Linked DNA regions of Tamandua tetradactyla. The protein of the gene in region 1 interacts with the protein of each later gene in a biochemical or structural test. Links are inferred from orthologs where the notes say so. Each region holds a gene or a part of one and is shown on either strand. Other genes may lie near its edges.

Region 1 (7,949 bases):
ACTTAATAGTTAGTGAATGTTCCTCTGACAATAAATATAAATTTAGACCTTACTCACAATTTCTAATTGCTCTGCTGCTCGCTTCTGACCTCTTCCCATGGGATCTCACCCCAAGGCTGGGCACTCGCCTGCTCTTCATTCTCCAGAGCCTCGCTGATTCTGGGCTTAGCACTCCGTAAACCTTATAAAGCTGAGAGACCAACCCAAAGAAATTAAAATGACAATTTCTTTGTAATTAGAAACATGATCAGTGACCTGTCATCAGAGTCCCTAAATCCCACTGGCCATGCCCTTTCACAATATCTCCTGGGGCTCTCTCCTCTTTTATCTTCTTGCCTTTGAGTCGTAGGACTCCCAGCGACCTTCTCTCTGGCATCACCAGAGGACATTTTTTTTTTTTTTTTTTGGAGGTGCATGGTCCAGGAATCGAACCCGCATGAAAGGCGAGCATTTGTATCACTAAACCACCCGGGCACCCTAGAGGAAATTTTTGATGATTTAAATTCAGTCTCTGAGAAGCCCCTAGCCCGAGATGCAGGATTTCCATCTTTTCTAAATATTCTTTTTTTTTTTTTTAATTGTACTGGGGTGAAATTTACATGACATGAAATTAACCATTTTAAAGTGAACAATTCAGTGACATTTCGTACACTCACAATGCTGTGCAACCATCAGCTCTATCTAGTTACAAAACATTTCCATCGCTCCAAAATTAACCCCCTTGTCCATTAAGCAGTTTCTCTCCACTCCCCTCTCCTCCCACCTCCTGGCAACCATCAGGCTGCATTCTGTCGCTAAGGCAATTACCTGTTCTGAAAAGGTAGTTACTTTTTCTGGATATTTCATATAAATGGAGTAAGGCAATAGGTGATATTTTGTGTCTGGCTTCTTTCCCTTAGCATAACGTTTTCTAGAGTCATCCATGCTGTAGCATGCATCTGCGCTTCATTCTTTTGTACAACTGAACAATAGCCACTGTATATGGATATAACACATTTGTTGATCCATCCTTCTCTTGATGGACATGTGGGCTATTTCCGTCTTTTGGCTATCATGAATAGTGCTTCTATGAACATGTGTGTACATGAATTTGTTTGAGTGCCGGTTTTTAGTTCTTTGGGATAAATACCTAGGAGTGGAATTGCTGGATCATATATATGATAGTCTATGTTTAACTTTTAGAGGTACATCCAAACGCCTTTACCTGACAATATTTACCATTTCAGTCCCAACATTTTCATTTGGACCACCGCTCACCCCCAAGGAGAAGAGTGAGTGGGTGTCTGACCAACAGCTACACAACAAACAGGCCTCACCTCCCAGAATAAAGGGATTAGGTAGGTGAGGCAGAGTCTCTTCTCCTGGAGAGAAATTATTTATGGTTAAACAAAGCACAACATAAAAAAACAAGAGTGAAAAAAAAACCAAACCTAAAACATTTTTCCCCAATTCAAGTCATTGTGTATCAGCGTTATAAAGTTCATTCTTAGTTGCTCAGCTACACATCTCTCGCTTCTACACAAACATCACACACTCTCACATAGAAAGACACACATGATTTACTGTATCCTCTACACACACTCCAAACTACACACTTATGCATACACAGTCCCAAGCAGATGCCACCATCTCCCATCTAGGGACATCATCACCATGCCCCATTCCCTGCAAAGATAAACCACACACAAACACAAACAAACAGCGCACAAGCACACAGACTCTCCATACGCTCCTCACACCTCACACACAAATACATGCCCTGCAGCACTCACACACTACATACTGCACCTTTCCACCATGTACCACACAGTCTGTACACTACCCAGTACACTGACACACACACTGACAAGTGTGACAGCACACACCAGTCACAAAGCACACACGGCACTACCCAGACCTTCTGACATGGTGCACATCCATACCTTCAGCACACCACAAAATAATGCCCCCGTCGTGACTCCTTTTTCTAGCTAGCTAAACCCCAAGTTCTCTCACTTCAATTACTCTCTCGCCATTATTTTCAGCTTGTGTGATTCCTCTGTAGGGGACTTAGCAAAAGCCCGACATGGGTTCATTCCCATTCTTGGCCGTCTTTGTGCCTGAATCTGGCTGCTGAATCCTGTACCCAACCTTGCTGATTGAGACCACCAGAAATTTATGGTTTCTGACATAAACTCTTGCTGCCTGCCATTATAGTTTTCCCTTTCCCATTTTTTCTTATGCAGAATGAAAGTTCCTCTCAGCACAACTGTTTCATGGTGGCCTTTGTAACTAGACACAACATGGTTCTATTCCTGGACAAAGCTCATCGGTTTGGAAGACTTAACCTCCCTTTCTTTGTAAATAGAACTCAGTGTGGTTGCAAAAATTAAGTATTAAAAAATCTATCTATCTATGTATATAAAATGCCAAACCAAAGCCCAGCATCCAGTAGGTAAAAAAAAGAAAAAGTTAATTGAAGTAATAAAACAAATTAAATTAGGGCAGGTAGAAACTATGTCTGTCTAGTGAAATAATTTTTGACTAGTGCAGGCTCAGATATATTCCCTCCTTTGGCTCTAGTCTCAGGGGACAGCTGCCTGCCTCAGCTCATTCAAGTCCTCCACGTTAGAACTACTGACCGTCAGCTGAAGGGCTCGGTATCCAGATCCATCGGGAAGCTAGAGTTGTTCTAACTGCAGAACCCCAGTCCTGTAGGGCTTCTTGCCTTGTTTCTCCATATCTTCTTGGTCCCCATGTTCTCAGTGTCCAGGTCCCTTGCTTTGTTTCCTCTGTCATAGCAACTCTCAGCAATCCACTTCCTGTCCTATTACTCACCTGTGTAAGTGTTTCCATGGCTCCTGTTGCCTTCAGGATGAAGTCCCAGCTTTCCTGGACTAGCACAGGCAGCTCTCTTGCCAGCTTCTCTAGCTTCCTCTCCTATTACCTATAGACGTCCCACCCAACTCCTGTTCCTGGTTTATACCACGACAATTTATACCTGCTTGTATATCCTATTCTTGTTTCCCTGCTGTTGTTCACACTGTCCTTGCTGCCTGAAATACCTTCATCCCTGACTGTATCTGGCTCACCTGGTGAACTCCTAATCACCCCTTCCAGAAATGTCCCCAACATGGTGTAGCCAGATCAGTGGCCTTCCTCTGTGCTCTGAAAACAAAAACTCTTTCCTGATGTGTTTCCTGACGTTGCTCCTCTTTCCAGGCTGTATTAGAATTATTGCTTGCATGTCTGGCTTCCTCATTGGATTACAAGTTGCTTAACTTATTCAACTTTGTATTCCTGGAGCTTAAAAGGTACTCAATGTATGTTTGTTGAATGAACAAACACAAGTGTTTGCAGAAGAAGGTCCTTGTTATTAGCTGTTAAACTCTTTTCATACCACCTAACTCAGTGGCTAAGATCTCTTCTTATAGTTTCCTCTTGGACCTCTACTGATCACTTCTTTCTCCTGAATAGATGGGAACCTGGAGCTTGGACTTAGTTTGAACTTTGGCTTGTGGAATTCACTTCCTGCCTCTCCCTTCTATTTTGGACTGGACTTCTGGTTTGGACTCAAATGTCTAACCTCTCCCTAGAAATCAGTGATCCTCTGTCACCTGGGTCTGTTTGAACTCCCAGGTCCAGCCCTCTCCATCCAGTTCTCAGCCCACCTTGTCTTGTCAAAAAAACCTTGTCACCTCCAAATGCTCTACCCTGGTTATAATTCATGGACATTAAGCAACTATTGTAAATTTTATCTGGCTATAATAACACTAGGACAAAAACCAGTCTTTGTACAGGACAAAACAACAGATCTGTGTATTTGTATGTCTCTGTGAAGTTTACAAGGTGCTTTAGTGTAATTTATTTCATTCTATCTTCATAATAACCTTTTGTGTTGGGTTATTATCCCCATTTTACAGATGAGGGAACTGAGGCTCAAAGTGGTTAAGTGACTCTCTAAAGGCCTCAGAACCAAACTTCATGGCCAGGGTGGGAGAGCGTGGACTTTTGTTCTTCTGACTCTGAGTCTTTGAACTCTTTGGTGTTCATCAAGATATTTAAACATTAGATATATCTGATGAAAAACAGAGATCCGATTGTGATGCTTAAGAACGTGTCCTCTCCAAATCCAACCTCTACTATTGTTAGCATGATTTTTCTAAAACTTAAATTGAGGTTAGAGTCTTCTGATCACAATTCTTCAGAAGACCCTGCTCCCTCATCTAGTTACATGGAGTACTGTTGAATCCCTGACCTCACTCTTTCCCATTTTAGCAACACTTACCACTTACCGTGCGTTGAAGGCCAACAATCGTTCATGTCTTGGTGCCCTTTGCCCTCATCTTCCACCCCCACCCCATCTGCCTTTTGCATGGCCAGCACGTCTTTATTATCCAGCTCAAGTATCACCTCTACTCCAGAGCTATTTCTAACATATCCCCATCCCCACTGTCCTTCCTACTTCCTTTATTGAGTCATTGAGTAAGTCACATACTTTTGTCCCAGCACCTCTTACTCTGTGAATTATTGTCTTGACTGTTTATCTGCCTCCCTCTGAAGACCTCAGTATTCTTAGAGGTTAAAAATGGGACCCAATTCATGGTTACACACAGTACTTAGTACAAAACCCAGCAAAGAGTAAAAATTCAATAGATGTTTGTTGAGTGGAGGGATGGGTAGATGGATAGATGCAGTAGTGAACTTTTTTATTTTTTATTTTGCTCGGGCAGGCACCGGGAGATGAACCTGGGTCTCCTGCATGGCAGGTGAGAACTCTGCCACTGAGCCACCGTGACCCACCCAGTAGTAAACTTTTAATTGTCACTTTAAATCCATTTATTTGAGTGTATTTCCTCCTCTTCCTTTATTTTCTTAGTGACAAAATAATAAAATTTATCCAATAGACTATAGGAAATAGGGTTGACTTCCTTCCCCTTTCTAACAGTAAGCTTATTGAGCTTTAGAGGAGTAAAAACGTGACTTGTTCCAATGACCTGCCCATGTGCCAATCATCTTTTTCTTAGGTTATTTTAACAACATTTCGATTGTTAGAAAGAACTCCTATTGAGCCTGAGTCTGCCTCCTGGAAACTTCAGCTCTTGGATCCAGGTTTAGCTTTTTGGACCTATATGAATGACTAATTCTCCTCCTTTGCAAGGTAGATTTTAGCATATGGGAACATGGCATACATTTTTCAAGATTCTTCTGCAAGTGGCCGAAAACCCATTCCAAACCAGGTAAATAAAAAAAAGTACCTTTATTGCTTCCCGTAAGCCAATTACAGAGCTATTCCCATGACTAATTAACCCAAGCACTTCCTACTCTCAGCTGGCCTCTGCTTGTGTTTGCTTCATTGTTTAAGCTCTTCCACATAGATGGGGATTACAAGTAGCACCATCTCTGCAATCACATCTTTTAACTCACAATCTAAGGGGAAAAAGACAAAAGGGCTGCACTTGGTTTAGCTTGGGTCATGCATCTGTTCCTGCACCTGGATGCGAGAGTATTGCACTTGAGATCCCCACCAGAATTACAAGGAATGGGAAGGAGCAGGTCCTCCCTCAAGCAGGAGAATGTGTTTCCAGAATAAGGAGGCACAGGATTCTGGTTAGACCAAAAATAGGGCATCTGTCATAGGCTGAATTCCCCTTACCTTTATGCCTTATTATTATTATTTTTAAGTGGAATTAAGGAGGAACCCAGACTTCTACCATCCTAGTTTTCTGTGGCTATGCTCAAGTTTGTCAAGATCCCTCTCAAACATGACCTTTTCTCTCCAATGGAATGTGTTGTTCCTCAAATGGGCTGGCCTGCACGGAACCCAACAGAGCCATTCCTTTACTTATTGGGAACATAGTTATTGCAGTGCCTGGCACATAGTAAATGCTTAATAAATAGTGAATGAATGAATGAAGGGATAAATGTAATTCTCAAGCCAATTCTGTCTAAACTTTGCTCTTAAAGGCAATTAAGGCAGCCCTTATGAAACCAATATGATATCACAAAGGAGACACTTAAAACCAGTTGGACTGAGAATGTGAGAATGCAGTGGGAGGAGACAGCTGGTAAACTTCTCCAGGTGCACCTGAGTTAACTGCTTCACGGGAGAGCTCTGTTCTCTGAACTGCATAGAAATGAACTGTTACTTCCCAAAGGCAGAAACACTGAGGGATGAAAATACATGCAAAATAAAAGGAAAAATAGAAAATAACAACTCTCCTAAAAAAAAAGCCTGCTTCCTTTCCTTTTTGGCTACAAGTGACAGAAAACTCAAAATGATACCAACCTAAATATAACAGGTCATTTCTTTATTATTTAAACAGTTCAGAGGTCAGAAGTCAAGGCTGTTATGGCAGCGCCACAATCACTGGGGTCCCAGGCTTGCTTTTCTTTCTCCACCGTCTTGTTTGTCCAAGTTGATGACTCAGGTTCCAACCAAAACATCAGCATTTGTTTCCAACAGGAGGGAGGAAGGGATGAAAGAAGAAAGAGAGTGAAGGCATGCTCAAGCTGTTTTTTATGATTTCAGAAAACTGCCACCAACTTCCATTTACATTTCACAGCTGGAACTTAGTTCAAGCTATGAAGGAGACTGGACAATATATTCCAAGGGGTTTTGTGCTCTGCTAATAGCTGGGAATTCTATCATTATGCAAGAGACAGGAAATGGATATTGGGATAGGCAACCAGGATCTCTGCTGATGCTGCTGGGAAGAAAAAGGAACAGGAAAATTTGGACATGTCCTGTTGTGATCGGTGCTAAGATCCTGGGAGGGGATTTTGTGAGAGAAGTCTTCAGTCCTTCCATCATGCTACTTCCAGAGGTGTCCTCCACAAAGCTAACCCAATGAGATCCAGGGCATGATCTTGGTTTCCTGTAAGCTAAACTCCTGGCACAGTATGTAAGACAATCTGTACCTGTCCCAGTTCCACCTCCCTAGCTTTAGCAACTTGCCACTCTCCTACATTACAGCCACACCCAACTCCTTGTCATTTCTAAACACACTGAGGCTGTTTCAGTTACCCTCCCTCTGTATATGCAGCAAATGGTTCCTGGAATGTACTTTCCTCCCTGGCTTTTCTGGAAATCTCCCCAATATCAAACTCTTGACTTGAAGCTCATCATCATCTGCTCCATGGTTCATGGTCCCTTCCTTTGTGTTTGCTCAAGTCTTCCTCAGATTTCACATATTTTATGGCCCTTATCTGGTAGCGTATTTTCACCACTGACTAAGCTGTTTAAAACACCAATTCTAGCCCTTTTAGCCCCTTTCCCTGCTTTTTTGCCTTCATAGCATTTAGAACCACCTGACATTTTCTTAAGCATTTTTTCCATGTTATTGTTTGTCTTCCACCTAGAAAATGTTTCTAAATTCCTAGTAAATATTTATCTTTAGGCTTTAGGTATAAATATGTGGATTTCACTGGAATTCTTGGGAACTCTCCAAATTATATCCTTAAAATTTTTTTTTAATTTGAATTTTTATGACACTGTTTACTTGTTTTTTTAATATTACGTGACCATAATAATAAACAGAGATCATTTTTCTGTCATGGGATTATATAAAAAGTTTCATAGGTTTTCTGTAAAAAAAAAAAGCTGCCACAATAAATGCAAGGCTTATTATTATTTTGAGCTATTTTGAGCCAATGTATTGTGATAAGATTATATATTCAATAACATGTAAAATGATTTCTACCTGATATAGATATTTGATAAGATAGAAAAGATAGATAAGATAGAAAAGATAGATAAAAGATAAGATAGAAAAGATTAAGAGGGGGACAGTAACAAAAAATAAATGCCAGTAAAAAAAAACTGAAAAATTTTAAGATAATGCCACAAATGTTTATTATTTAGAATTATTCTTAAAATGAAAATTTAAAACACACAGCAATTATTGCCCCATTAGATAGTCAGAGTAGCTGTTATGTGGCAAATATTCCACCATGGGGAAAAATTTCTT
Region 2 (7,534 bases), on another chromosome or scaffold:
TAGAAGGAGAGCATGAGGTTCCCACAGAAGAGCGCTGGGAGGTGACTGTCAGAGTCAGGGCATGGAGAGTGGTTGGGAAGGTCTGAGCTCTGCAGTGGTGGGAATGCATGCATGGGATGGAAGGAAAGAGGGAGGAGGCGGGTGGCCGTGGGATCAGCATGGGAGCTGCTGCCATACTCTGAGCAGAGACAGGAAGGTCTGTCTTGGGGCAGTGGCACATGGGGTGGGGTGGGGGGATTGTGACCACTGTCAGAAGAAAGGATGTCAGGAAGAATGGCTTGAAAAGGAGGATTCACAGTTGCTCGCTCACTCTCAGGAGCCAGCAGGACTTCAGGAGAGAAGCATCCAATAACTAGAGGCTGATGAACTTAGGACAGGATGGAGTGGGGGCCTCTAGTCCTCAAGGGAAGCCAACAGGACAGGGGAAACTGGCCCAGGAAGAAAGGTGAGCTGTAGGACTGTCCCTCACGGAGAAGCTAGTGCAAGTGGAGAAGCTGTCCTGGGTGAGGGGAGACAGTGATGAGGTGCTGGCATCTAGAGGGAAGGTAGCTGGTGGTCTTGAATAAAGTCAGGTCCGGCTTCCCGGCATGCTGGAACTGAGGAAGACAGCGAATCCCTACTCAGGTGGTGTTTCCCTGTGGCCACTCAATGTCAGAGGTGGGTCCTCCCCCTAAAAGCTGGGGGCTGACCTCCCATCAGCCTGAGGGGTATGGCAGGACCTCAGGCTACTCTGAGCTCTCCCAGCCCTGGCATCACCAGAAACTCTGCAGCCAGGGCTTAACCGGCCCTGGTCATATTAAGGCGTGGGCCCTGAGCTGCTGAAGGAAGGGCAGGGCCAGAGCCAGGTGCAGGTGGCAGGAGAACAAGGGACAAAACAGATCCTGCTTGCCCACCGAGAGCCGCCCGCAGGGCCCACGGACACAGGACACTTTGGAACCTGAGGCTGCCTGGCTGCCTGGGAACAGGGGATTTCATCGGGATGTGTGGGCTCTGCAGCAAGTGTGGGGGCTCTACGGCGGGCGTGGGGGCTCTGCTGAGGCCAGCTGGGTTAAGATCTCCCCTGGGAGATCACCAGGGCCCGTCACCAGAGCTGAAGGTGGAGGGGACCAGGGAGGGTGTGGTAATGCCTGGACACATGAGCCGACAGTTGTCCCTTCTGGCCTGCGTCCATCCCCCTGGGATCTGGGTCCTGACTCCTCGAGGGAGCTCTGCCTCTCCCACGGGGTCCCCGCAGGACTCTGAATGGAATCTTTCAGGCCCAGGTGGGGCAGCCTGGGATCCCAAGGCCAGGCTTTCCCTTGGGAGGGCTGGGGTGAGTCAGAGCCGCAGCCAGGAGATCACCTCATCCAGCAAACTCACTCCATAGATGAGGAGACCGAGATGTAGAGAAGGGGGCCGGGATTACTCGGGGTACCCCAGAGGCAGCTCTTGAGTAGGAGCCAAGCTCGGCAGGGGCCTTAACCTTTCTCTGCCAGTCAGACAGAGCCCACCTCAGAATCCCATTTTTCAAGACAAAATAGCATACCTAAGATTAAAAAGGAAAGCAATTATATTGAAATATCATTGTCAAAATGCTTAAAAACACATTTTTGATAGAGTAATGTCTGTTCTTCTTTATTAATATGTTCAATAATAACAGCTAGTGGCGCGCCTAAAAACTACTCTCATCTTGAAGTTGCGAAATGCATCAGTGTTTCGAGATACATGCAACCACTACAAAGAGATACGGAAATAGCTGCAATTTCTTTCAGTCACAGACCCTCCTAATACTTCTGGGGCGTCGCCTGCATTCCTAATGGAAGGAGTGCCAAATTTCAGTTAGCGGTTAATGAGAACGGGATGCAATTTTCTCCTGAATCCTTTGCCCATCCCTCCAAGGGGCCTGTCCTGAGCCCCTGAACTACACGGCCAGGCAAAGCCACTGTTTCACATCAGCAGCCAGGAGAGAGGGAGGACCCGAGTGCTGGAGGGGCCCCCAGTCTCATTCTTGAGCTGGTGCTGGTGACCAGGTGTGTCCAGTCGGTGGCAAGTGAACACCTATACCCTCAGAATAGGTGTACCAATCTGCATGAATTGTGGACGTCAAATCTTTAAAAAGAACGTCTTTACTAGAACATATCTTTACTAATTCGTGCAAGTGCAAGCGTGTTCATGCACACACACACATACACACACTCTGGCCAGTGTGTACCAGCAAGCCTCTGCAGGTCCATGGTTATCCACAAGCCTGCAGAACCCTCGTAGGCATGTGGACATAGGTAGATACAGTGAGACAGAGGGCACTATTTTTAGGAAATAATTCCAAGGAAAAGAGGTGGCCTCTTGACATACAGGACTGGTGATTGCTCACAGTAAAGAGGGTTGCCCTGCAAAGAACTGCTGTCATCCACGCTGGCCTTTTTTTTTTCTTTTTTCAATAAACAGAATAATGTCCTCATTGTTTTTACAAAAATAATACAAACCCTTCATAAAGAATTCAAGCAACGAAGAGAAAAGCACAAAGAAGAAAGTTTTAAATTACCCAAATTTCCGCCAGCTAAAGGGAAAAAAAAAATTCCCATTCACATTTGGTGATGAGTGTTACAGACATTTCTCTTTGTTCACTCAAAGATGGAAGTAGACAGGGAAATGCTTTCATAAAATGGGAAGCTACTCCCTCACCTGCTATTTTTAACAGAGATGTTCCTTTGACTTAAAGGGAGCAGGAGAAATAGACGCTGAAGGTTGGAGTGCTGTCCTAGGACATCCTCCTCTCCCAGCCGCCCTTTGCACAGGCCATGCTGCCCCTCCCAGGGGACCAGAGGCGCCCTTTCAAGGCCTGCCTGTGTTGTGTTTGCTCACTGTTTGTTTACCTGCCACCTGGCCAGGTGCCCACTTCCCGGTGATCCACACTCCTCGCAGCGAGGGCCCTGGAGGCAGAGCCTGGCCCTCCGTGTGCGAGGGTCGGTGACAGCAGCAGCCCACTGGGGTCCTTGGTAGCCTGTTTCTCAGGGGGAGGATCAAGGCAAAGCTGGCCCTTGGTTGAAGGAAGGGGATTCTGTCCTGGCAGAGCTCTCCAACAGGTGTCCGCTCTGCCCTCTTGAGCGGGTGCCCGGCCCTTTCCGGGTGTGATGCGGTCGGCAGCGACGTCGCCTCCCGGGTCAGTGTCACAGTGGGTGACCGCTGGTACCACATCCTGTTTTGGCGGGGCAGTCGGGAGCACATTCTTCTGCCTTGGTGTCATAGACAGCACGTGTCCACCCCGGGTCCTGGGCGGTTGGAGGCAGCCAGGGGCCACATTCTCCCGGCGTGGCGTCACGCACATGTGCCGGCTGCACATCCTCGTTGATGAGCGGTCGCCGTGTTCCGGCCCTGCCGTCTCTTGGGATCAGCTCTCATTTGTTCAGAGCCAGCAGGAGGGGAGCGAGGGGAGGAGGGGGGAGCTGGGGACGCTCTGTCAGCATTTCCCAGCTTTGGAACCAGATTGGTACGGGGCAGATGCAGCACCTGGGGATGCCTTAGAGAGCCTCAGCAGGGCCCTGCCACAGCTGTGCACACCCAGGACCAAACATCTGGATGGCAGCTGTGAAATTGTTCCCCCACTGCTTCCCCAGTCTGCAGAATTTGTCTGGGTGTCGAGCAGCAGATACAGGTGCTTCGTCAGTTGCTACTTTCCACCCAGATGTTAACACCTTATTGTGCCCCGTGGTGCTGCAGGGAGACTAGTCAGAATATCCCTCAACCTCCGGCCCCATCACTCAGCCCGGGAATCTGCTTGGAAGGAAGCCCTGAGTTTGGGCATTGGCCTGGGGGTCCTCTCATCACCCTCCATAGGGCTCCAAGGTTCCTGCATAAAGGACTAATTTGAGAGGAGAGCAGCAGCTGGTTCTCTCTAACACCCTTGCCCCTCGCCTGTGCATTAACCATCATTCATGCAGTCTCATTCATTTGTTCAAGACCAACCATCTGGTTTAGGACCAGCTCTGCCGGTGATGACAGGCCTTGCCCCTGCTCCACGAACCACCCCACCTCCTCCAGAGTGTGTTGGCACCAGTTGTGAGAAGTGCCTCGAGTGACGATAGTTTAGGAGCCAAAAGGTGCCATTGTCCCCTCTGGGGCTGAGTGGAGCAGCCCCAATGTTTCAGTGTTTCAGTGATGGTCACTTTCACCCACATGTACTCAGACATGCTTTGGGGGATGGGAGAGGGAAGAGTGACCCTCCCAAATACCCCACCGCCTGGAGGCTCTGGGTTTACCCAGGTCCGTGCTGGTCAGTGTGCCAGTGGAGATGGTTGGGGGGCGCCATCTGGGAGCATCTTTCAGCCCCTCACCGGCGGGTCTGGCCACGCTGTCCCCGGCCCAGGGTGCGGCCTCATGCCCCATGTCCGTGTCTTCCAGCTCCCCCACAAGCAGCGTGAGGAGAACCTGTGCCCCAGAAGCAGGATGAGAAAATGGCAAACTTCCTGTTACCTCGGGGCACCAGCAGCTTCCGCAGGTTCACCCGGGAGTCCCTGGCGGCCATTGAGAAGCGCATGGCAGAGAAGCAGGCTCGCAGCTCGACCGCCTCGCAGGAGAGCCGCGAGGGGCAGCCCGAGGAGGAGGTGCCCCGGCCCCAGCTGGACCTGCAGGCCTCCAAAAAGCTGCCGGATCTCTATGGCAATCCTCCCCGAGAGCTCATCGGGGAACCCCTGGAGGACCTGGACCCCTTCTATAGCACCCAAAAGGTGACTGCCACCCACCCGCCCACCTCCCTCCACGCGGCAGACAGGGAGACAGCCTTGCCTCCATATGGGGTTCTGTGCAGGGTGGGTTCTCCTGGGCTTCAGGAGAATGAGTCATAGGCGAGCTACATTCCAATCACCTTAATTTTGGAGTTCCAAAATAAAAGGCAGGAATTATGCAGCCTAAGATGCTGCTTTGGTGCTATGAAGAAAAACGAGGGCAGCACCATTGAAATCTTACCTCCTTGTTTGGAATTTGAGAATTATCTGTGGTTAGGTTGTCACTTCTGCAGGACTTCTCCCCATCCCCTGGTGTGTGTGTGTGTGTGTGTGTCACCCCAAGTCATGCCCTGAGTTGAGTTTGGACCCCAGAACACAGCGTACGGTCCCCTCTCTGAACTCAGGGCACCATGCTCCCACCACCCCCCCCGCCTCGCCACACTCCACCCTGCTGGCAGCATGGGCAACCCAGGGTTGGCTGCGCTGGGGTGGCTCAGGCTAGGGCCCACAGCAGCAACTCCCCTGGGATCTGTGAGGTGGCAACAGGACCGGGAAGGCCAGTGGGAAATCTGAGAGGGACAGTGGGGGAGGGGCCGGGGTAGTTCTGCCATTGTCCCTCCTGAGTATTGGGGGAGGAAGTGGCTTTTGTAGGTATACTAGGGCGGGTGACTGGGGCTTCCTCCTAGCATGGACTTCTACTCAGGAGGTAAACCCCACCCTCAACCCCTGTCTCAGTCCCCTGCCCTGGCCTCTCCCCTCAAGACATTATGTTCTTCCACCCTGCACCCACCAGACCCTGGGCACACATGCTCCATCTCCCAGCCTGGCTCACCACTGTTCTGGGCCTCACTGCTGCAGGAAAGTGGATTAGTATCTGGGGTAAGGCCTGTCCCGGGGATGGGCACCGAGGATGACAGTGACTGCTCATGTGACTGCAGCTAGTGCCAGGGATGAGGAGGCACTTGAGGGGCAGATAGGATCAGAGTCCTCAGGATAGGCCAGGAGGGCGTGCCTGGGAGTGCAAGCAGATGTGAGTGGCAATGTCCATGTCACTAGCATTTGGGTGTGTGACTGTCTACAGGACCAAGAGTCTGGAGACGGATGTGATGCATGTTTGCCCCAGTGGGCCTGAGTGTGCAAAGGGAAAACCCACCATCTATACGCAGAGGCAGGAGAGATGCTCTTTAACCTGGTCCTGCTCCCAGACTTCCAGCTGAGCCACCCTTTGTTCAGGGGACTCGGGTGGGCTCAAGAACAGGGTCCATGGCACAGTTGGGATCGGGGTTGGGTTGATAGTTGGGATTAGTCAGAGTGGGTGGGCCTAGGTTACAATTGATCAGAGCTGAAAGTCAGAATTGGTGTTGGGGTCAAGACCACAGTGGGTGGCGAGTCGAGGTTACCATGAGAGGAAGGGTGGTGATGAGGCTGGGCTTAGCTGGGATCAGGCAGGAGTCAAGGCTGGTGGGCTCAGCTGGGGCTGGGGATCAGGGTTGGGCTCGGTTTTAGGGAACTATTGGCAGTTTGGCCCGGGAGGAGTCAGGGACTCTATTTGTTCTGTCCCTGTGTCCACCAGGAATGTTTGAAGAGTGACCCCAAGGTGATTCTGACCTCTAATCTTGTTTCTCCTTGCTGACTCTTGGCCACACTGGCTACAGCCCCATAGAGTGACCAAGTCCCCACAGCAGAACTTTGGGTCCTGATATATGTGGTCAGCCTGTTTTACCAGCCCAGATAGGATAGAACTTTGTCTGCCCAGCTCTGCCCTTGGAGAAGCAAGACCTATGGGGATGAAATCTGTCCTCAAGGGCCATTTTGGCCTTAATTCCCACCTAATATACATATGGCTCAGCCTCCAGCACTTGCTCTCCATCCCCAGGACCCATTGTGCTGTGTAGACAGCACCTTCTGGAAGCTGGGGGGTGGAGGGTCCCACTAGGACCACTCACAAGCCCTCCACAGGTTGTCTCCTGGGTGGTAGGGTGGGACTGACGTCTGTCCTGCACTCAAGGAGGCAGGGCCCTGGGGAAAGCTTCCCTCTGCACCTTCCTCATGGTTCTCTTGCACCCATGGTTCTCCCTGGTGACCCAGCTCTCCCGGTCGTACCCTCACTCCATCAGGCTGGTGGGAAAGCCATGTAGAGCCGGTGGGTTCAGGCAAGGAAGAAGGGTAAGGGGGAGGCCTCAGCTAGGTCTTTTTGGTCTCTGCTGTCACACAGCTAGACTAGGATCATGAAAGGCCCTTATTAAGGACTATAATTTTGAAATGAAATCCCAACCAACGTGACCGTTCCCTAAACCTAACCTCACTCAGTCCCTCGGCTCTTCCTCCTCCCCCACTCCCAGTCCCCCTGCCCCAAAGCCTCTCTCCACTAGTAGCCCGGGCCTGTCACCTCTGACCTAATCAGCTCTCTGTCCACAGACCTTTATCGTGCTCAACAAAGGCAAGACCATCTTCCGGTTCAGTGCCACCAACGCCTTGTATGTCCTCAGCCCCTTCCACCCTGTCCGGAGAGCAGCTGTGAAGATCCTGGTTCATTCATATCCTTTGCAATTAATCCCTTCTGGGTGTGCCCTCTGGACCCCACATGTGGTGCGGGCAGGGTGCTGCCCCCCACCCCAGCCCCCCTCATAGTTTTTGCTGAGGGTGGTGCTGATTCTTACAAGCAGCACAGACATCACCTAGTTGCTGATTAGAAATAGAGAACCCCAGGCACCCCCCATCCCCAGACCTGCCAAATTAGCAGTTGCATTTTAGCAGGATCTCCCAGGGGGTTCTTGAGCACATGAAAGTTTGAGAAGCCCTACTCTGCGTCTTCAGGAGAGAGGCATCCCAGA

Evidence for each region.
Region 2: the proteins of PTPN3 (region 1) and SCN5A form a complex in vitro, tested with the Homo sapiens proteins (2 studies listed by IntAct, with this or other methods). The link is inferred for Tamandua tetradactyla from reciprocal best matches to the Homo sapiens genes PTPN3 and SCN5A.

What each region holds. Positions count from the first base shown.
Region 1 is NC_135328.1:28,458,127-28,466,075, forward strand, and holds the start of PTPN3 (tyrosine-protein phosphatase non-receptor type 3), read right to left. Parts: upstream 3,094-7,949; 5' UTR 2,836-3,093; coding exon 2,622-2,835; intron 89-2,621; exon of another isoform or gene 58-88; intron 1-57.
Region 2 is NC_135341.1:48,697,352-48,704,885, forward strand, and holds the start of SCN5A (sodium channel protein type 5 subunit alpha), read left to right. Parts: upstream 1-4,383; 5' UTR 4,384-4,430; coding exon 4,431-4,703; intron 4,704-7,118; coding exon 7,119-7,236; intron 7,237-7,534. UniProt on the Homo sapiens protein: Pore-forming subunit of Nav1.5, a voltage-gated sodium (Nav) channel that directly mediates the depolarizing phase of action potentials in excitable membranes.